Linked DNA regions of Arabidopsis thaliana. The protein of the gene in region 1 interacts with the protein of each later gene in a pairwise test. Each region holds a gene or a part of one and is shown in the gene's direction. Other genes may lie near its edges. The genes, in order: AT1G55650, DBP1 and NF-YA4.

Region 1 (7,728 bases):
GAACCGCAACACTAGTGCTATAATGAATTACAGAGTTCATATTTGAGCTTAATCCAAAATAGATTTTTCTTCATCATCTCTGGAACTTAAAGGAACTAAGCAGACCCGAGAACTCTAAATTCAAAGACGAAAATCTCACCTCCGAGAGCCTCGGATTCGCAAAACCGCAAAAACCCATCAAACTATTGGCAATTAAGCAAATTGGAATCTAGATTTCTACAGATTCCATCTGAAATCGAAGATTACCTTGACGAAGAAGACGAGTTCAAGGGGTATAATGGTAAAATAACTGAACCTGGATCCCAGGTTCTACTCAGACGTCTCTGCCGCTGCTCTCTGCTTTTGAGAACTACCGAGAAGAGAATCGCTGAACCGAATCCACATTTTGAAGAGGATCCGACCCGACTTTTATGGGCCCTAAAATAAAACTGGCCCATCCCAAAACGTTAATCAACGTGGGAACCACTTTTTGTTTTGCTATATACCTATACCTTCAAAACTTTTAATTTCGGTTAAACTAGTTGACTAGAGAACTCAAAAGTGGTGTCCGGTGATCGGCGATGTTAGCACCGGGGGAGAGTGTTCTGATCCCGGCGGAGGAGATAAGTCTCTCCGCTGGTGATGTTATCTCCTTGTCGGTGCACAATCTAATAGCTTCTGTTTCTAGCTACCGTCCATGGTGGTCAGAATTTCTAGCATTCGGTTCCATCGACCGTCCAAGCTCTTTCTCCCCCGCTGTTTCGCGCGTTAAACTTAACCTTCACCACTTTGCGGTTAACTACGTACTTTTAACCGCTGCTTCCATCACACTCTTCTTGATCGGTGATCCGATGGCTCTTGTCACGGTTGCATCCTTTGTAGCCATGTGGCTACTCCTATATTTCTATAGAGACCATCCGTTGGTCTTGTACGGTCGACATATTAGCGACCGTGTTATCGTCTTTGGGTTGATTCTTGGCTCGCTTTGGGCATTGTGGTTCATTAATAGCCTCCAATGCCTGATTCTTGGCGTCGTTACAAGTGTCTTGCTTTGTTTGGTCCACGCAATCATACGGAATTCAGACGACCTCTTTGTACAAGAGAAAGATGTTGTTGTTCCTTCCAATTTCCTTCATTGGAGCTGACGATATGTCATATGCAATTATGTGATTACCTTTAAAATTCACGCACGCATTGTCATATTTGAATGTGGCCATGTGGGTTACGAAATGGTATCAGTATATTTTACATGTCCGGTCAAGCTTGCATATTTATTACTAGTTATTATCATTTCTGATATGCCCAGTTTTTTTCTAATCGTCTATTATCTTGAGAAAAATTTATGACCCTCCCTGTACACCAAAAATTTGAAATCAATACAATTTTTTTTAAAAGAAAATTATATACAAGAATAACCATAAGAATTGTTCTAAAACTACCTACCTTCACATTGTATCAACTTAATAGGGACATTATCTTTGTTATCGTACTCTCATCTCCGCTAGAGCCTTTCATAATTGCTCCTCTTGTCTTGTGGAAGCAATTAATGGATGGTACATTGGTACTCAAATATTCTTTTGTGAAATTTACTAACAAAGTAAAAGTTTCTTAGTCTAAATCTTTTAATTGATTATTTGTAGAGAAAAAAAAAATATGACCACAAAAGATTATGTCCAAAAATATTGTAATATTTGACCTATTCCAATTTTAATTTGTTTTAAAATCATTTCCCAAAAATTTCACTACAATTTTTTTTCTAAGAAAATTCTTACATGATGTATCTAAAAATCGATAACGGCTAATTTATTTTAGGGAAAATTGGATAAAAAAATAAATAATTGAAATATTGTCCATCTAACGCATGCAATATCATTGATAATTTTTATTCAAATACGAAAGCGACGAAGCACTCACTTTACTTAGGATCCTTTACTTAATATCATAATATAAATAAAATCTTATCTACTGACTACATTTAAAGGAAAAACCTTATCTAAAACTGCTACAATTCATAGAATGAGACTTTGAAAAACTTTCTCTCCCAGGCACGGTACCCAAGGAGGATATTAGAAGTATGTCTCCCGCTTTTAACCAGATCTATGTTTCCTTTTGCATCCCAAAAGTGGAAACTTCCAACGGTTATTAACCAACCCTAATGAGCTCCGACGAGATTTTGGGTGATTCCGACGTCTCCTCCTCCGCTTATCCCCTCTGTTTCAAGCTCTAATTTGGTTTTACATCTTACTCCCACTCTCCTCAAGAGTTCTCTCAGGTAGTTTTCTGGTTTCTCACTATGTCTTGTCTGCCTGTGTACTCTTGTCTCTTAACCTGTTAAACCTGTGCAAGCTTTTAACCCTTTTAAACCTTACTGCTTCTCCGAGAGCATTTATTTGAGTCCTGAAGAACTATCTCCCCAACCTCTTAGCCCACAATCTTTACTACACTCACCTGCACCCTTAAATATTCTTTTGTGAAATTTACTAACAAAGTAAAAGTTTCTTAGTCTAAATCTTTTAATTGATTATTTGTAAAGAAAAAAAAATATGACCACAAAAGATTATGTCCAAAAATATTGTAATATTTGACCTATTCCAATTTTAATTTGTTTTAAAATTATTTCCCAAAAATTTCACTACAATTTTTTTTCTAAGAAAATTCTTACATGATGTATCTAAAAATAGATAACAGCTAATTTAGTTTTAAGGAAAATTGGATAAAAAGAATAAATAATTGAAATATTGTCCATCTATGCATGCAATATCATTGATAATTTTTATTCAAATACGAAGCGAAAAAGCACTCACTTTACTTAGGACCCTTTACTTAATATCATAATATAAATAAAATCTTATCTACTGACTACATTTAAAGGAAAAACCTTTTTTGTAAAACTGCTACAATTCATTCAACATTTTGCAACAAGTCGTAAATCGTAATTAATTTAACGCGGATTATGTAAAAGGAAAAAGGGGATTTAGTATATGCATATGTGGTGGAGACAAAAACAAAATCTGTACATAAACATTAGGCCCCTAATTCCAGATAAGAAGATAAAAAAATCCTGAAAGTTGTATGAAAGTTCGTTCATTTATATCTCTGAAAGTTGAAAAATCTTTTCAAAAGAAAAAAAAAAACACTCCAAAAGAAACTATGTCGACCGATAGTTCACAATTTGAAGTTGTTCCCGCTAATGCCTCTGCTTTAGACAACGACGTTTCCTCTCACATGTCTATGTTGTATCAGGATATTGTCCGAAACCCCGAACTTTTCTGGGAGATGCTCCGGGATTTCCATGAATCTTCGGACAAAAAATTTAAGTGAGTTATGCATGTTCTTTTAGTGTTTTTGGTTTTCTTAATGAATTTTATTGTTTATAAAATTACAATTGTGGATGAAAAATCCTACTCTACATCGGGTTGATAAATTTATTAGAGATTCTACAACTTTATTCACAATCCATTGTATGGTGGGTTATAAATATACCAAAGGAGTCAGTAGACAGTAGCCTTGTTCTCCTTGGTTTGAGAAACACTGGGATAAGTGGCAATTTTTTTGTTTAAGGGAAAAAAATCTTCAAAATATTGTTATTGGAAAAGGTGACTTTGAGCTTTGGCCCTGAACTTCCTCTTAAAATAAAAATGACTCGTATTGTCGTAGATTTAAGGGCTTGATAAAATTTATTTGGCTAGATGGAAGCATAAACCAATTAGGTTATCGAATTGTGAAGGCACGGAAGTGTGTATGGCTTATTGAATTGGATCTGGTTTGCTCTTAAACTGTAGTCCAAAATCAGTCTTTATTTGGTTTTGACAAAAAGATTTGAATTGATAAGCCACGAAGAGCTGTAAGATTTTTTTTAATTTTTTTTTTGGTTACCGTTAATGCTAAATTGTTTTAAAAGTAAAAATGTTGGGAAATGGAAATTGCTTTTATGCTCTTCTGATATGTTCAATGTTTTGTGCTTCAGTTGATCTATTCTCTTGACTAAATTTCATTACATTAAACTGTTTCTGATTTTTTCCGTTTGTAAAGGATTCCTATTGTGGGTGGAAAAAGTCTTGATCTGCATCGGCTTTTCAACGAAGTCACATCTCGAGGTGGTCTTGAAAAGGTAACAAGTTCATAGTGCCATTGAACATCAAGTTTTAAATCTATTTTTTCTTCATTAAATATTATACAATTCTGTTTTAAAAATCCTATTGATTTTAGGTGATCAAGGATCGTAGATGCAAAGAAGTGATTGACGCATTCAATTTTAAGACAACAATAACAAATTCAGCATTTGTTCTAAGGAAGTCGTATCTTAAAATGCTCTTTGAATTTGAGCATCTCTATTACTTCCAAGCTCCACTTTCTACATTTTGGGAAAAAGGTCTTAAAATACCATTCATGATCTCTCTCTTTCTAATTCTCCAAGAAGATCCAAGATTAATATACATGTTTGTCCTTTCTTCGCAGAAAAAGCATTGAAGCTCCTTATCGAAAAATCTGCAAACCGTGACAAAGGTACTTAAAAATTCATGTTTTTGGATATGTTGCATGTTTTTTGCATTTATAAATCCAAAGTTTTTAGATTCTCTTCTTTCATCTTATTTTGAGTGTTGGGATTTGCTTTCTGAAACATATTCAGACTCTCAAGAACTGAAACCTGGCACCGTGATTACTGGGATCATCGATGGGAAATTCGAAAGTGGTTATCTTATAAGCACAAAGGTAGGCTCAGAAAAGCTCAAAGGAATGCTTTACCACATTTCTCCTGAAACTAAAAGAGGCAAGAAGAAAGCAAAATCATCTCAGGGGGATTCTCATAAGCCACCTAAGCGTCAAAGAACCGGTTACAACTTCTTCGTTGCTGAGCAATCCGTGAGGATTAAAGCTGAGAACGCTGGACAAAAAGTATCTAGCCCTAAGAATTTTGGGAACATGTGGACCAATCTCTCTGAATCTGATAGAAAGGTAATTCAAAAGACTTAAGAAATTAACTGATGATTTTAAACTACGTTTTCAAGTTTCATTTATCTCGAATGGATTTAACGGGTTTGGTTTATGATTTTTGAACAGGTTTATTATGAGAAAAGTCGTGAGGATGGGAAGAGGTATAAAATGGAGATTTTACAGTACAGATCTTTAATGGAATCTCGTGTGGCGGAAATTGTAGCCGCAACTGATGCAGGTACAAGTGCAAGTGCAGCGGAGACTGCGGATGAGGCGAGTCAAGAAAATTTAGCCAAGACTGATGCATGCACAAGTGCAAGTAGTGCAGCTGAGACTGAGGATGAGGTGAGTCAGTAGTGTTGACCGTTGAGATGGGTCAGTAGTGTTTCTCTATCGTTGTCTTCTCTATTTGTTGTAAGTTTATCTTTATGTTATGAGAACTTTGGTTAATAATAAGTTGTGGAATCTTGGCAACGACCCTTTCAATAAATTGTTTTTTTTTTTTTTTTTCTGCAATCTTAATGCCAAACTTTATGTTTCAAGAGTTGAGTTAGCTTGTCCTAATCGTCCTAGTATGAGACATGCCGTTTCTGAAAGTAACATCATGATTGTATTTTATTTTTTAAACCAACGTACTGTTGTGGGTCGCATGCAGAGGCTTCTCTAATCCATTCTAGTCTAAACATAACGGGCTTTCTTGTTATTTTCCTCAACGGGCCTTTTTGTTACATATATATTCATATTTTTCGAAAAGACCAAAAGTTACAGAATTAGAGTTATTTCAAAGGTTTCAGACGGTTTGGGCGGAGAAGTCAATGTTTGAAGTCTTACCCTAAGGAGAAAGATACCAGATTTAAACTTGGGTTTAGGGGAAAAACGGCTAAGTCATATCCGAACATTATGGGAAGTTCTTTTTATAGATGATATATGATCATTAGAAATATAAATAGTAATCATTTTAAATTTTATATCCACATTAACTAACAAATAAATGACACATACTTTGACCGTATCTCTGTGAATCAGCTAGTAATGTTTTGAAACTTCTATCCCAAACCATCATAGCTTACTATGACGCCATCTAAGAAAATAATATGACGCTGTATATATTTAAATTACTCTACTTTCAAAACGACGTTGGGAAATATAGAGATAGAGAAAAAAAAAGTGAAGATTTTAATGGATAAAAGAGAGTATGTTGGATTTCAATAATGAGAAGTTATTTTTTATAGAAATGATAATATGTTTAGAAATATCCAAAAATAGTTTAAATTCTTATACCCAAATTAGCGAATAAATGACACATACTTTGACTGTATCTGTCTCAATCAATCATTAATTTTTCAAATTTGTTCCCAAACCATCATAAAATGTGTACTAGGATGCCATCCAATAAAACAAGACGTCGTGTATGTTTAATTTTCTTTACTCTCAAAACGAGGTTGAAGAAACAAATTTCTCCAAAGAGGATAAAATAAAGAAAAAGGTGATGATTTCAATGGATAGAAGAGAGTATGTTGGATTTCAATAATGAGAAGTATTTTTATATAAATGATAATATGTTTAGAAATACCCAAAGATACTTTAAATTCTTATACCCAAATTAGCGAATAAATGACACATACTTTGACCGTTCTGTCTCAATCAACCATTAATTTTTTCAAATTTTTTCCCAAACCGTCATAGAATGTGTACTAGGATGCCATCTAATAAAACAAGACGACATCGTATATGTTTAATTTTCTTTACTCTCAAGACGAGGTTGAAGAAACAAATTTCCCCAAAGAAAATAAAATAAAGAAAAAGGTAACGATTTCAATGGATAGAAGGGAGTAGTTTCTACAATCTTCCCACAATTAAGAGGCAATCAAGATCAAATCCGTGAGTTAGGGTTGTTTGTTATATAATCATAGCTATCATCGAGTGAGACTTTCGATTCACATGAAAAGTTTTATTGATTTTTTATTTACAACAGAAACTCCATATATTATGTAGTAAGAAAGGACTTCCTCCTCGCTTATTCGTTGATTTTCAGTTTTCTTGCTTTCCTTTGTTGCTTTTTCTTTTGATCTCGTTTCGATTAAGGGAGAATCTAGATCGAATTACAACACATCTCTAACCAAGAGCATAATAGCTTAAGGTTCTATGATGAAATGAATCTCAAAAATTTATTGTTTTCATGTTTTTAAAACTTTTTTTGACATGGGACCATGTTAGCTTCATGAAAATGTCTTTTAGGTTAAGATATTTACATTCTTACATGTTCGTATTCGGACGCCTTTTACATTGCAAAAGTGTTACTTATTTCGAACTTATTGAATATATGGAACTTGAACACTTGTAGGTGTATGCTTATTCAAGATTTACATGAATGGATGGTACGAATGTAACGTGCACAGTAAATGTTAGATCTAATGTTTTAGTGAGTATTTTCCAACGAAATGTGTGGAATTCATGTTTATTACAAACAATTTCTTTTAAAACATTTCCTTCATTATTGATTATTCATTAAGAAAATTAATTAAGAGAACAAACCTGTTCGTTTGCCCTAGACAAGGCAATACATCTTATGTTCCTTTGTGTTATTATTCCTTGTCTATGTTCTTACTTATGTTCACTCTTTTCTTGGTTACTCGGACAGATTCCAAGTTTCTTATTCGACAAGATAAATGAATCTTGGTTAACATCAACGAAAAGAAACGTGGAGATTGTGAAGAATTTAATGGACAAGATCAGTCAGTTGCCTGATGAATTGCTCGTGAAGGTACTATCATTTCTTTCAACAAAAGATGCTGTAAGCACGAGTATCTTATC
Region 2 (7,567 bases), on another chromosome or scaffold:
CAAACCTGACCGTGTACCCCGATGCCCATTCAAAGTTATCTAGCAACGACCATGCAAAAAAGCCCTTAACGTTTGCTCCAATCAAGATAGCGTCTTGAACCATCTTGAGATGTCGAGCGTAGTAATCGATTCTATCGCCATCTTTAAGTAAGATTTTACCAGTGCTAGCTTCATCTCTCCCATTTTCTGTTATGTACATGACAGGGTCTTTGAACTTGTATTTTGCATAGAGGATAAGATCACGAATTCCCTTTGGATATATCAAAAGTCAATCTGATGCAGCTTTTGGACCAATGGGAACTCCATCTCTTTCGCCTGTGACGCTAGCACAAGGATCAGAGAACATTGTAACGTTTTCGCTTGAGCAAGGAACATCTTTTGCATAAGAAGACGAGTAATAATTGATGCCAATGAAATCATATGATCCCTTAAGCATGTTAGATTGTTTTGAAGTAAATGTAGGCAAGCGACCGCCTTTTACGTTGTTAACCATGTCAACCGGGTATTTACCGGTCACGAGCGGCTCCATGAAATAGTCGAATGTGAAAGCCATGGCTCGTGCCGCGGCTAACCTATCCTCAGCTGATTCTGTATAAGGTAAGTTCCAACCTGCATTCAAAGCTATACCGACTTGACCTTTTTGAGAAGCCTTATACTTTTTTCTATAGACTTTGATTGCTTCTCCGTGAGCTAGGATAAGGTTGTGACCAACGATATAAGGCTCGGTGGCTCCATTCCCGGCGGTGCAGTTAGGGTTTGTAAATTTTGAACACCTTCCTGGAGCCATAACACCTGCAACATATCCTTGTTGCACCACTGTTAATGGCTCGTTCAATGTAATCCAATGTTTCACTCGATCTCCAAAGCTCTTGAAACAAATATCGGCATAGTCGCGAAAATCATTAACAATTTCTGCCCCACGGAATCCTCCGTAAGCATCTTCAAGGTCTTGTGGTGTGTCCCAATGGAAAATGGTTGCGAAAGGCTTAATTCCTTTAGACAAAAGCTCATTGATCAAGTTGTTGTAATAGTCAATACCAGCTTGGTTGATTCCTCCTTTAAGATTCCCACGAGGCAAAATACGCGACCACGAGATGGAGAATCTATAGGCATTGAACCCAATTTGATGCAATAAACCCACATCCTCCTTGTAAAGATGGTAAGAGTCATCTGCAATAGATCCGTTGCTACCATCTTTTATCTTTTCTGGGTATTTTTCAGAAAACGTATCCCATATACTAGGTCCTCTACCATCTTCCTGAGCAGCTCCTTCAACTTGGTACGCAGAGGTTGCAGCTCCGAAAATGAAATCTTCTGGGAAATCAGTTTTTCTTAATTTAGGTGTTGAAGAGTGTCTCTTGGCAACAACTTCATTGGAAGCCAAGATGATGAACACTAGTACGGAGAAATATTTACTTGTCATTCTAAATTTTTCTTTTGATTATTGAATCTTTGTTTGTTGTAATATAATGAATTATGTCTAGAGTTATATAGGCAAGAGATTTGTTTTTACATTGGGTATGTGAATCTATAAATAGAGAAATGTAAGATAGAGATGGTGTAACAAATCTTTTAATTTTTACTTGTCCATAATTAGTGAATAGAAGACTATTGAAATGATCTTATCTAGTTGTCTTTCTAGTAGGAAAAAATTAGAAACACACTTGTAAATATTTTCCTTTTTCTTGTAACTACTTTTTTTATCCAACAATTTTGTAAATTCCCAAAATAATTCAAATAACTCTCTCAAGACTCCATTATAAACTATTCTTTTTTTTGTTAAATCCATTATAAACTATTCACAATGATCTTAACTAGTTATCGTCTTTATGATTTATGTCTCGAGAGAGTTATTTGAAATATCTAAGAAATTTACAAAAAAAAATGTTTTCTGTAAGTTTCAAACTAGTTTTAGAAAATCGTGAGTGTGGATTTGCATAAGATGATCAAGCTGTGTCCATTTTCTTGTTAACGTAGGTCTCTTATTGCAAAACCAATTTTTTCTTCTTCTTCTCTTCATGCTACGAGTCTTTTCTCTCTCGCTAAGGCTAATCTCCCTTTATTCTCTCACCATTCTTGTAAAAGCAAAGAACATGAGCATCAAGAAATTAAATTATTGAAGGTCCGACATGGAAGTGAAATTTGTAGAGTTGTAGTTAAACTTTGAAATACGAGGCCGAAATCAAACTAATCGTTGGAGTGACATAGAGTTGGGCTTCACTTTGGATCGATAATAGGCCAACTCATTTCAGTAGGAAGTACTTGGAGTGTTTTTCTTTTGTACTACACGCATGTACTACTTTTCTTTCATTTCACATCCAATAGAGTACTACTTTAACACACAAAGCTGAAAACTCCCAAAATTTGGTAGGATACAAGATTACAAAACAAAGAAAAAAAGGACGGACCAAAACTAATCGTGCACATAAAGATCTCAATGAATTTAATGAGTTAATTATTTTTATACGGTTCGATTTAAACCAAAAATCAAAAATGGCATCCTCAAAGAAAATTTTGCATGAATTAAAGACCAGTTTGGTTCAATGTTTTGTCATCAGTAACTACACAAACAAATACTTAAAATTTAATATATCTACAATAGTTTTTGTGTGTATTATTTGTTTCTAATTGACTTTTTTTACACCTGCCTAACAATCTCCCTTACACGTAATGAACTTCCAATTTACACGGAGAAACAACCACCCCTGTTGACACGTGTCATCACCACACCGACCGGCGGTGCATCACCCTTAGCTAATCCGGCTAACTCCAAACGTCGATGAGCAGACGGACGAGGAAGATTCTCCGGTACGATGGTCTCTAGCGAGTTCTCAAGCCAAGGCGGACACGTCCTCTTGTCACTCCACCTCCGCGGCGGCACCACACCCGCAGCCATCTCTTCTACCGGCGATTTCACAACCGCAGCTTCCACTGATGCAACATCATTGATCTGAATCCCGCCGATTACGACAGTTGCCGCCACCCCCAAGACAAAAGAACACTTGTTTTTCCGTGGCTCTGTCTCATTTTCTGTTCTCCTACTAAACAATAAAAGAACAAAGATCATTGATATGAAAAATTATCAGGTAAATAATAACTTTTCATGAATAGAAGAGATACCAAGAGATCTTTGACGTTGTCTTGAGCAGTGAAGCTAATGATTGTGCAGAATTTGAATCTAGGGGAGGAAGATTTAGACAGCAGCTTATTCTCCCTGCCATTGTTATTCCTCTGTTTTCGTTTCCTTCTTTTTCTTAAGAATCCACCTAGAACAAATTTTATTTTATTCCTTTCACCTCCAACATATATATAACTACTAACCCATTCTTACTTGGGTCACTCATTTTTTCTTACTATATATGTATCCTCAAATTATTACATTTCATATGCGCATGCAATACAAACCACATCTAAATTTTTCTTCCAATATGTTCTTTCTCTATACTTAACTAAAGCCCAAAGAATGAACTTAACCTAGAAAAGATGGACTTGACCCAATAGCATTGGTCCGTTGGAGATGTTAGGTCCATACTCCATACAAAGACAAATTGAACAAAAGTCGTGAATCTGTTTGCTACGTCTGAATAACAACGTACACGTATCACGCCTTGCGAACAAATTATTTGACAATGATGGCCAATTAGCATGTGTCATCACTTGTTACCACGTCAACAAGGTTCTTGTCGGTCCGTTTAATTAATAGTAACCATCGTTTTCAGGAAAAAAATCCACATAAAAAGTTTCTAATGGCGAAACAATATTCAAATATTTCCTAACAACTACCATGAGACTGATTCTTTTTCTCTTCCGAAAAATTAATGAGACTGAGTCCTAATTTTTCTTATAGTTAATTTGGTGACCATCAAAGAATGTAAAAGTATTTAGGAAACAGCACAAATAATCTGGCAATTACGGTCTACAACATGTTTATTTACTTATTTTTAAATTATAGAAAAATTTAATATTTTAATATCTTATATTTAATGCCCTAAATAACACTAAATCACACATATAAATAGCAGAGATATAAATATAGAAAAACATTCCAAGCATTTTTCAGTACTTAACATTTATACAGAAAAACAATTAAACATTTTTCAGCACTTAATAATTAACATATGTGAGAAATTCATAAACTCTATTAAATATTCATGAAAATAATGTATTTTTAATTTTATAAGTAATATCTCATGTGTCGACTTTTTTTATATAAAAAAGATGTAAAAAAGGTCCCAAGTTACTAAAATTCAATTTTGTCAACTTAACTCAAAATCTTTTTGCTATTAGTCTAAAATTTCAGATTTCCTTTCTTGCTATTTTTCAAAATACTATGTTTACTTCTCATATAAACTGTAAATATATCCCTTTTTTAATAAGAAAAAAAATCTCTCACTTCAAAAACAAAAAGGAAAAAAAAAAGCAAAGAGAAAAAGTAAATAATACGCCGACGTTTCGTGTTTATGTTAAGCTTCCTTTTTCCTTTTTCCTTTTTCTTTTTGCCTTTTAAATAACCGTCGGACTCATATTTCTCGCCTCCGCCGGCGAACAGTTTTATTATCTCTCTCTTTCTGCGTGTTCCAATTTCTTCCACAAAACCCTAATTTTCTCTTAAACCCTGAAATTCGTGTAACCTTTCAACAATCTCTTCAATTTTGTTTTCGATTCTGAATCCATTGTTTACGAATCTCTCATCTAAAGCTACATTCTTCGTTAAATCGTTTTTAATCGACTCGCTCACTCGTGAGTTGACTCGTCAGCTGTTTCCATAATTGCTTATTGAATTTTTATACGATGATGTTTCAATATGGAAGAAACTAGAGGAATTTCTGATCCAGAGAATGGGAGTTCGAGTTACGGCGGTAAACCGCCGAATCCACTCTCCTTCTCTTCTTCCTCCGCCGCTGCTGCCGTTTACAGGCAAACCTTCGACGGCGAGCGATCGTTGGCGCCGTGTAATAAGAGGTCACTGGTTCGACACTCATCTCTCGTAAGATTCGTTTCTCTTCAACTTGATTTGTGGATCAGTTAGGTTTATTTTGTGTATTGAATGATCAATTTAAGTTGAGGTTTTGTAATTATTGCTCTGCTTTTGGATTTGATCATTATTGGTTTCCTAATGTGTATAATTAAGGTAGAAAGTTTCTGTTTTTAATGTGTCATTATGAGATGTTTGAGGTTTTCTGATTGATTTTCATTTTGGTAGGTGAAGACAATGGTGTCAGATATATCTGTTGAGAATGAGTTTACTATAGAGAAGAACAAGTCTGAGTTTGTTCCTGCTACGCGTTCTGGAGCTTGGTCTGATATTGGCTCCAGGTCAAGCATGGAAGATGCTTATCTATGCGTTGATAATTTCATGGATAGCTTTGGCCTTCTGAATTCTGAGGCTGGTCCAAGTGCCTTCTATGGGGTATGTTCTTTCTTCAGTTTTCCTGATTTTTTGTAGATTTGTAGCATAAGCAAACAACTGTGAATGTAGTGAAAATATGGGGATCTCTTATTGAATTTTGTTTGTTATTAGGTATTTGATGGACATGGTGGGAAGCATGCCGCTGAGTTTGCATGTCACCATATACCGAGGTACATTGTTGAAGATCAAGAGTTTCCTAGTGAAATCAATAAGGTGTTATCTTCAGCATTTCTTCAAACAGACACTGCCTTCTTAGAGGCGTGTTCATTGGATGGGAGCCTTGCTTCAGGAACTACTGCTTTGGCAGCTATTCTTTTTGGAAGGTTTGTTGATTCAACTCTTATTATCTTTTAGTTTTGTCTAACCTAAACTCTTACATCTTGGTTATGTTAAAGAAAAACGTGTTTGGGAATAGATGCTTATCCTCAACTGCGTAGTGTGCATAATCTTGACCTTTAACACAATCATGTACAACTAATTCGCCTGTAGATGTATTCTCTGCCCATATGTGCTGCTGCTATAATGTAGTTATTGTCTCATATGGTCTTTGAGTCACGTATATACTTGCTCATTTCATACTCTATTAGTATTCTGGTATGAAACCGTTTGGTACCGTGTTAACATATAGTTTTGTGGTAACAGGTCGTTGGTGGTAGCAAACGCTGGAGATTGCAGAGCAGTCTTATCCCGTCAGGGAAAAGCCATTGAAATGTCAAGAGACCACAAACCCATGAGCAGTAAGGAAAGGAGACGCATTGAAGCATCGGGTGGACATGTATTCGATGGCTATCTAAATGGACAACTTAATGTGGCTCGAGCGCTAGGTGACTTTCATATGGAAGGCATGAAGAAGAAGAAAGATGGTTCTGATTGTGGACCTCTAATTGCAGAGCCTGAGCTCATGACAACAAAACTAACAGAAGAGGATGAGTTCCTTATAATTGGGTGTGACGGGGTTTGGGATGTGTTCATGAGCCAGAATGCTGTAGATTTTGCCAGAAGGAGACTACAGGAGCACAATGACCCGGTCATGTGTAGTAAGGAGCTGGTTGAGGAAGCTTTGAAGAGGAAGAGTGCTGATAATGTGACGGCAGTGGTTGTGTGTCTTCAGCCACAGCCACCACCGAACTTGGTAGCGCCGAGGTTGAGAGTTCACAGAAGCTTCTCGGCGGAGGGTTTAAAAGATTTACAGAGCTACTTGGATGGCTTGGGAAACTAATTGGGGGACATGAGGATGGTGACGAATGATTGATTTCTCTGTTTTTGTTTTGTCTTTTCTTACAATTTTATAGTTTGGGGTTTGGAGGTTTTGTTCTGTTAAATTCTCGCAATTTGAGTAAGTTATAACATGAGGCGGCATACAATAATTTATTGTTTGGTAGGATATATTTTTTTGTCACTTTTGCATAATAATAATTCTGCTTCAGTCTCATTTGTTTTGTAACTAGAAAGTTATTCCAATTCCTGCGTTTACCGAATATGTTGTGTTCTTGCAGAATGACGTATGTTAGATATGCAGTAAACTCGAGGGTCGGCTTTGACCACATCGCCACTTATCGGTTTGCGGATGCTGGAAAAGTCAGTCTAGTGATGAGGCTGAGTGAGCCATCGTCAGTTACTATTTTATCGTGAAACTCTGAACAACGAGATTGTCCCGGATATTCAAATGAGGAACAAGGCCCAATAGTCCGATCAAAGTGGGCTATTCGTATCGCTTACGAGGCCTATACGATGGTAATTGAATTCACGCGCATTCATCAGCGCGTGATTTGGAGTTGCTCAATTTCAGATCGCACAGGCTCTGTTAATCATCTCCTCCTCCGAAAGACAGAGAAAGAGACAAATCAAATTCATTCATATCAAAGAGATAGAGAGAAAATGTCCGGTGTGGCTATTCATGCGAGTTCATGGGGCGCGGCTCTGGTGAGAATCTCCCCGTACACTTTCTCCGCCATCGGAATCGCCATCTCCATCGGCGTCTCTGTTCTTGGTGCTGCCTGGTATAAATCCTTTTCTTCTTCTCCCCATTGATTTGCGAAATCATCATGCTTACGAAAACTATTTTGCTCTCTCTCTTTATGGTTTAGGGGAATTTACATTACCGGAAGTAGTTTGATCGGTGCCGCCATTGAAGCTCCTCGAATCACTTCCAAGAAT
Region 3 (7,260 bases), on another chromosome or scaffold:
ATCAGACTCAATAGCAGTTACCATTCCCCTTATAATCGAATCACTCACCACTCGTGAGATAGTTAACCTATCATTTATGTCCTCCCAGTAAGAATCTAAATCCTCAAGAAAATCAACATCCGGATTCTCGTTCTCTTTAAGAACACCATTAACCTGGAGTGATGATGATAAAGTGTCATCATGAAACTCTAAACTACCATTCTCAGACTTCACGACCTCTTCCTCCATAAGGTTATTAACTAATTCCACCACTCTTTTCTCACAATAACCCTGTGAGAGAAACAACAGTGTTCAATAAAAATCAAAACTTTACAACAAAATTTACTCCTTAATTAAGCTATCCCAGCTAATGAATTGAGATTACAAATCCTATAAGAAAACTCTAACGACCATGACCAAATAAAAGGAGAAGCAAACTTACAAGTCGAGGTAAAGTGACGAATTGACCTTAAGAAGAGCTAATCACAGCGTCGATTTCAAGGATGAGACTTTCTTCTTGTTCTTGCAGAGTTTTAGGGTTTCCAAAGAAAACGCATAGTAAAGGGAGAGAAAGTTTAAGAGGCGCTACGCTACACCTGAGCGGAGCGGGAGACTCGAGAACAAAGCTTATGCCCAGCTCCTTTACCCTTGAATTTACGATATTACCCCTATTAATTTTGTCTTTTGTCATTATACCTTTTTGAGAAAATACAATGTACATGTGTATGTATATTATGTGTTTGGCTCTATCTTAAACTATATCATTATTTCGGCTAACATTTGTTGACGAGACTTATTTTTTCATGCAAAGATGTTCACATTTATATATAATATAAGTAGCCTGTTCAAATGGGTCAAGCTCAATCCAACAAATTCAGTTTTTCATGGATTTATTTATTGTTTTCTGGGTTGGAAAGAGCTTATTCATTCGTTAATTTTAGTTCAATACTTCAATTCATTAGGGTTATTCATACTTATATGACTAAAATAAGGGAATTATAATATTTCTTTTATGGATATACTAGAATGTGTTGCTAAGACAATAATAATTGGAAAGAATTCATTGAGTTGATCTCATAATCATTAAGGTTTCTACCTAATTCAAAATCATTGTTTAGTCCAATCCAACTAATCCGATGATTAAATTAATCCGGATTCTTTTTAAAGAACTAATAAAAGATCGGAGCCTCTGTTTTAGAAGTCTTAACTTTTTGGTCTATTACTTTTCATAGCTTTATTCTTCGGTCAAGATGTCATTCTTGGAACAAGAAAAATGTTTATATGACTAATATGGTTGTGACATTCGATTAATTAATTATAGATTTCGGATGACATTTTAATTTTTTAGTATTTCTATTCTAGATATATTTTTGGTAATAAAGCTAGATTTGACAATATGATTGATGTTAAATTTAAGATTTATATGACAACTATAACAAGAGGTATTTCTAAATCTAAGTTTTACTTAATTTTTCTCTATAATCTATTTGAATCAATATACTTTTGAACACCCCTTCGATAAAAATTAGTATATTTATCTTCACAATTATAAAAGAATCTCATCCTTATCTTTCTATCAAATTTATGAATTTGGTCTCATCTCTATCTTTTTCTTTTGCTTTTACTTTGTGTAAGTGGTATTTTTTTTTTTTTTTTGTATCATGGATTAAACTAGATTATGACGGTTTGATCTTGATGGTTGGGGTTTAAGTCTTATTAACTAAAATCGTTCTTTTGAGGCGATCTTTGTAGGAAAAACCAAACTAGGATAGATTTGTGCTCAAATGAACTAACATAGAAATCTAAAACTGAAAATAAGAGACCTCATTAAGCTTATTGCACAAAACAAAAGTATGAGGGGAAAAGATTTAGATTGTCCCCAAGAATAGAATGACTTTAGTTTTGATTTCAAAGAAGGGGATAGACTATGGAGTTAAGTGACAACTCTCTACGTTAGTCTCACTGTTCTCACTACATGATTATATATAAGAGACTACTTGCTCATCTACTTAACCTAATTACATGAACTTGTGTTGGGTTTTTCCAATATCATGAACTTATAATCTTTGGTTTTGTTAGGAATGCTCTTTTAATCTCAGTGCTAAATTATGCTTGATATTTATAACTTTTTTTTTTTTTTTTTATATTTATAACTTTATACGTGCTGACATGCACTTGAGGACTTTGAGGTGTCGAATCAAGAATCATGATGATAAGGAGTTTAGGGATGAAAGCAGACTATATAATCGTATAGGTGATTAAGTAAGCATGGTTATTTAATGACTGCTCAGTCACTTCATTTACTTGTGTATTAATCATGTTTACTAGTTAGTTTTCGTCCATTTCCAAACGCTAATTTGTTGTTCAATGACTGCTCACTCACTTCATTTACGTTAAACGTTTCTTACTTGTCGAATGCATACTTACTTGATTTTGACCTATAGTTACTTGTCGAATACTGTGACCTCGTATAAGTGATCAAAGGCGTTACAACTTTTGGTGGTCTTTTACACATAAGTGATAGTTTTCAATTATTTTTCGAGTCAAAGCAATTAGCAAATACTTTTTTAGGAAAGTTTTTTTTTTCTTTTTTTTTTTTTGGGCAAAATTTTTAGGAAACTTATAAATAATAAGTTACTTATTATGGAATCATGTACTGTTTTTTTCTGAAGTCACTCATCACTCGTTCGTTTAAGTAGGTTTTGTTTTGTCACTGAACCGAAGTCAAACCAATCTAAATACCAAAGCTGGTTTAATGTCTCTGAAATTCGAACAAAACCAAAAGCGAACGGAATCTTCGGTTTCGATACCGACGCTTCTTTGATGACTCACAACGAAAGATATATTTGAGGGCAACGGGCACAAGTAGGGTCAGGCAAAACTAGTGGAGTTGAACAATCGATAACATATTCGGGCAGCTTTTCAGATCTGCCCGTCTTTTCCTACAATCTCGATCGTTGTTTCGACACTTGTCCTCATTGTATTAGCCTCCTTTTCACTGTTGCACATCGTGTCGTTTACCACTCCTACACATTTTCGTGGTTCTGAGTTGACCTATCACTACAGTGTGAGTGGAAAACATGAAAACGGCACGATGTTAATGAATATTAGAGAAGGACGGAGGCTATGAACTGAAAAAACGACATGGTGTGTCCCTCTTGGGTCTAGCCGTTTAGGCCTCTGTTAGTCATTTCGTCTCTTCCTTAGTTAGAACAAAAAAGGAGAGACCTTTAACAATTTTCTGAGGGTAAGATCCAGAGATTGATTGAATCAGCTTACTATTTTATATAATTCAGGTAAATTCTTATGTTTCTTTCCCTCCAGATTTTGAAAGTTTCTAGCTTTTGTTGTTCTGTATCTACTCGTTTCCGGGAAAATGCTTTTGCTATGTATGTTGAGATGTGATAGTAGAGGTTAAGATTGGTTTTTCTCTGTTCTGGGTTTGCTTTAGATTCTAGGGTTGTGATTGAATTCTGATTTTGGGGTTTTGGTTTAGTGAATTCCGATTCTCAAACTCTTGGCTTTGGTACTGACTTTTGTGCTTTGTTGTTGTTTCAGTTTGTTGTTCCTCAGACTTGTAACTAGGACAGTCTTCTCATGAATCATGACTTCTTCAGTACATGAGCTCTCTGGTTTTGTCTCTCTTTCTGACCATTTTCATTATGCTCTCGTTTTATTGTTGTATCTTCCTAACTGATTCTTGGTGGTATGTTTTGCTGGTCAGATAACAATGAAAGTCATGCGAAGAAAGAACGTCCAGATTCCCAAACCCGACCACAGGTTCCTTCAGGACGAAGTTCGGAATCTATTGATACAAACTCTGTCTACTCAGAGCCCATGGTAATTTCTCTCAGCCAAAATCTCAACTATTTGTGCAGGCTACATTCAATGAGTGATCTTTATTTCGATTATATGATATTTGGTTTAGTTTCTGTGTGATCTTGCTCTCGGTTATAATATGTTTGCTTGTGATTCTCTTTTTCAATGCTAAAAGTTTTGTTTTGATGCTTACAATGCCAAAACTTGGTTGTTTGAGATAATTCAAGCAAGAAAGTCCCGGGATCATCGCCTTTCTGCAGTTTTAGACTTCGTACGAATGTAAACTTTGATTGCTTTGAAAATCAGTCTTGAGATGCAGTGTAATGATAATGTTGATTCCAAGTAATGCTAAACTTTTTAACCTGAGATGATACGGTTTTTGTTTTTGTGTGTGTTGGTATTGAAGGCACATGGATTATACCCGTATCCAGATCCTTACTACAGAAGCGTCTTTGCACAGCAAGCGTATCTTCCACATCCCTATCCTGGGGTATGTATTATTTATTACTCAGCCCCAACGTCTCCGGTTTGGAATATTTAGAAAAGCTTTTGTTTTATTTTTAAAGTTTTTTTTTCAGGTCCAATTGCAGTTAATGGGAATGCAGCAGCCAGGAGTTCCATTGCAATGTGATGCAGTCGAGGAACCTGTTTTTGTTAACGCAAAGCAATACCATGGTATACTCAGGCGCAGGCAATCCCGGGCAAAACTTGAGGCACGAAATAGAGCCATCAAAGCAAAAAAGGTAAAATCCTGGCGGGCAAGTGCTGTAATTTGTTTGGTAGAATCCTTCCCAATAAGTTGTAATTTCTTGTTTTCAGCCATACATGCATGAATCTCGGCATTTACATGCGATAAGACGGCCAAGAGGATGTGGTGGCCGGTTTCTCAATGCCAAGAAGGAAAATGGAGACCACAAGGAGGAGGAGGAGGCAACCTCTGATGAGAACACTTCAGAAGCAAGTTCCAGCCTCAGGTCCGAGAAATTAGCTATGGCTACTTCTGGTCCTAATGGTAGATCTTGAGGAAGGTTTCTGCACAACCACAAGTTTAGTTTCTATTTTGGGTGGATGTTCTCAGGGCATCATCGTCTTTAGTGTTTTTGGATACGCTGTGTACAGGTTATTTGCTAGGGTAAACTTTGTTTTAGCGATTAGAAATAAAACTAAGCAAAGAAATGAAAAGTGTGATTGGAAGTATTGTTGTACCAAATTGATATTCTTTGCCAATGAACTCATGTTTTGGAAAGTAAATTAATGTTCTTAGCTTTGTTTGCTATGATTTTGAGGATAACTAACACTGATGATAACTACCACTGTGGATTAGTCCATTGTTAGACTAGACTGTTTATTGGTATTCTTCTATATATATGAAATGCATTCTACAGGATCGGATTTGACGTTGTAATTTAGGAGACAAGTAAAACAAGAATTCTTCCGATCTCATAATGTGGTCAATCACTAGGCTCGTTTTCATTTTTAATGAACACATTGCATGCATATCCGACCATATGCTCTTCCGATGATACATTTTGAATGACACGACATACATTATTTTACAATCACAATTCTCTTTTTATACGAGGTATTGTTTCTTTTCTCGACTTGTAGCTCTGTTTTAGTTTTGTCAAGTCTTTAGACCTGTTTACACCATTTTATTATTATCTTCTTTACCACATATAAACTTAGCCTTTTTCTTATATTCACAAAGAGACCATATTTCACCATTCCATTGATGATATATTGGTTAGATGTGTTGGGATAGAATTTGAAACATTGATTTCTGCGACCAAATGGATTCGTTTTGGGAAGAAGGTAGAATAATCTTAGTTTACCACTTTTTTTTATCCACTAAGCATAATCATTTCACTCCCAGACAGTTTATATTTCTGAAGTCATGTTTTGTTCTCTTGCGCCTTTTCTGTTTATTTATATATTTGGATTTAATAAGATTCCATAAAAGCATTGCTTTGATTTTCAGACAGCTTCTGGCTGAAGTTTTGGTTGTTGGCTTATTGCGCTTTAGCTACTGTCTCTCTGGAGTTTAGACAGTTGATGTGAGTTTATCAAATACTTATTAAAACAAAGTACATGTGTTTCCTTCTCTAGTCTCTGTATATGATGGAAAATTGGGAAATGAAAATTATATAAAGAATCTTTGTCAAATAAGATATTATGTCAAATATCATTCGGTTATTCTTCAAATTTAGAAAAAGCAACCAAGTAATATTTTTATGAAGAGATACCAGTGAACCATATAAATTAAAACCTTGAATATGAATTTATCTGAATTCCTTAGTACTTTCATTAAAAAATCCTAAGATGTATACTTATATATTAAATAATAGGACATAAATAACAATATATTATTGGAGTGTTTCCAAATGTTGACTGCATCAAAAGTTCTTTGCATTGTGGGTTAGGTCACATACACATGAATTGGTGTTCATGTGTGTGTATGTGGAGATGCATAACTCAAATCATAGGGAATGATTGCATGAAAGTTTCATTGGAAAAGAGAGCAAAATATAATGGATTTTTCATCTTCTTCATGGGTTGTATAGTGTGGGTTCTATTATATGAAAGGTCGACTATGTTCCTTTAGCTATACAGAACCGCAGGTTGACGCCCAGATAAAATTAAAAGAAAAACCAAAATGAAATGAACTCTTTTGATGGATCATTAGATCATATATATATACTGATCATCATATTCACACCATAATCAACTATAGTTAATTTGGTAACGGGTCCATTATTTGATTGAAATATTATAATCTTTTGGGTAAAGGATCAATTATTTTGATTGAAAACGATCCTCTTCTTCAGAATCAAACGCGATGTTGTCGTCATATGACGTAGTGAAAAAAATGTATATTTGTGGAACGTCTTTTATAAGCTCAATTGTTAAGGTCATGGCGAGTGATATCTACAAACTTTAATCCCACTCATAATTATTAAATTATATTATTATATGATCAAAAACAATATATGCATGAGCAGCCTATCAAACTTGGAGCCTTCGTTTTTATCCATGCCTGACTTTACACCTCTATCATTCCCATGCATGGGTCCCTTCCTCCACCTCTGTTGCTCTCTCTCTTTTTAACACAATAGAAACAAGAGATAGCGAGAAAGAGATGTGAGATTGAAGCAAAGGAAGAAGAACACAATTGTGACAAAAATAGGGCTTTTCTATTTGACTTTTTTTTTTTTTTTTTCACTTTCATTTCATTCCAAAGAGTGGAATAAAAAGACACTTGTGCTTTTCCCTTCCATTGAGTATGTGATCTCAATATCATTGCTGCATCGATTTCCCATTTATGGAGTAAACTCATGTTTTGTTTTTGTATTTATATATACGGAGAAAAAGCAAATCCTAAGTAATTATAATAAAGTTTGATTAGGTATTATCATGGATGCTTTCTTTTGGTATTAGGATTAGTTTTCTAGACTACATAATAAG

What was found.
Region 2: the proteins of AT1G55650 (region 1) and DBP1 interact in a two-hybrid assay, tested with the Arabidopsis thaliana proteins (one large-scale study listed by BioGRID).
Region 3: the proteins of AT1G55650 (region 1) and NF-YA4 interact in a two-hybrid assay, tested with the Arabidopsis thaliana proteins (one large-scale study listed by BioGRID).

What each region holds. Positions count from the first base shown.
Region 1 is NC_003070.9:20,793,211-20,800,938, forward strand, and holds AT1G55650 (HMG (high mobility group) box protein with ARID/BRIGHT DNA-binding domain-containing protein), read left to right. Parts: upstream 1-3,129; coding exon 3,130-3,296; intron 3,297-4,011; coding exon 4,012-4,090; intron 4,091-4,188; coding exon 4,189-4,351; intron 4,352-4,437; coding exon 4,438-4,485; intron 4,486-4,609; coding exon 4,610-4,935; intron 4,936-5,040; coding exon 5,041-5,271; 3' UTR 5,272-5,384; downstream 5,385-7,728. Other genes in the region: AT1G55630 (Pentatricopeptide repeat (PPR) superfamily protein), read right to left, coding at 1-40; PRA1.G1 (prenylated RAB acceptor 1.G1), read left to right, coding at 561-1,124; AT1G55660 (FBD, F-box and Leucine Rich Repeat domains containing protein), read left to right, coding at 7,484-7,728. UniProt on the Arabidopsis thaliana protein: Binds preferentially DNA with A/T-rich content.
Region 2 is NC_003071.7:10,902,216-10,909,782, reverse strand, and holds DBP1 (DNA-binding protein phosphatase 1), read left to right. Parts: upstream 1-4,515; 5' UTR 4,516-4,804; coding exon 4,805-4,987; intron 4,988-5,203; coding exon 5,204-5,410; intron 5,411-5,521; coding exon 5,522-5,733; intron 5,734-6,052; coding exon 6,053-6,629; 3' UTR 6,630-6,788; exon of another isoform or gene 6,789-6,906; 3' UTR 6,907-7,067; downstream 7,068-7,567. Other genes in the region: BGLU14 (beta glucosidase 14), read right to left, coding at 1-250, 302-1,423; AT2G25625 (histone deacetylase-like protein), read right to left, coding at 2,684-3,041, 3,121-3,221; AT2G25610 (ATPase, F0/V0 complex, subunit C protein), read left to right, coding at 7,142-7,410, 7,498-7,567.
Region 3 is NC_003071.7:14,647,579-14,654,838, reverse strand, and holds NF-YA4 (nuclear factor Y, subunit A4), read left to right. Parts: upstream 1-3,129; 5' UTR 3,130-3,275; intron 3,276-3,537; 5' UTR 3,538-3,583; coding exon 3,584-3,611; intron 3,612-3,703; coding exon 3,704-3,819; exon of another isoform or gene 3,820-4,165; coding exon of another isoform or gene 4,166-4,204; coding exon 4,205-4,288; intron 4,289-4,376; coding exon 4,377-4,541; intron 4,542-4,617; coding exon 4,618-4,821; 3' UTR 4,822-5,133; downstream 5,134-7,260. Other genes in the region: AT2G34730 (myosin heavy chain-like protein), read right to left, coding at 1-228. UniProt on the Arabidopsis thaliana protein: Stimulates the transcription of various genes by recognizing and binding to a CCAAT motif in promoters.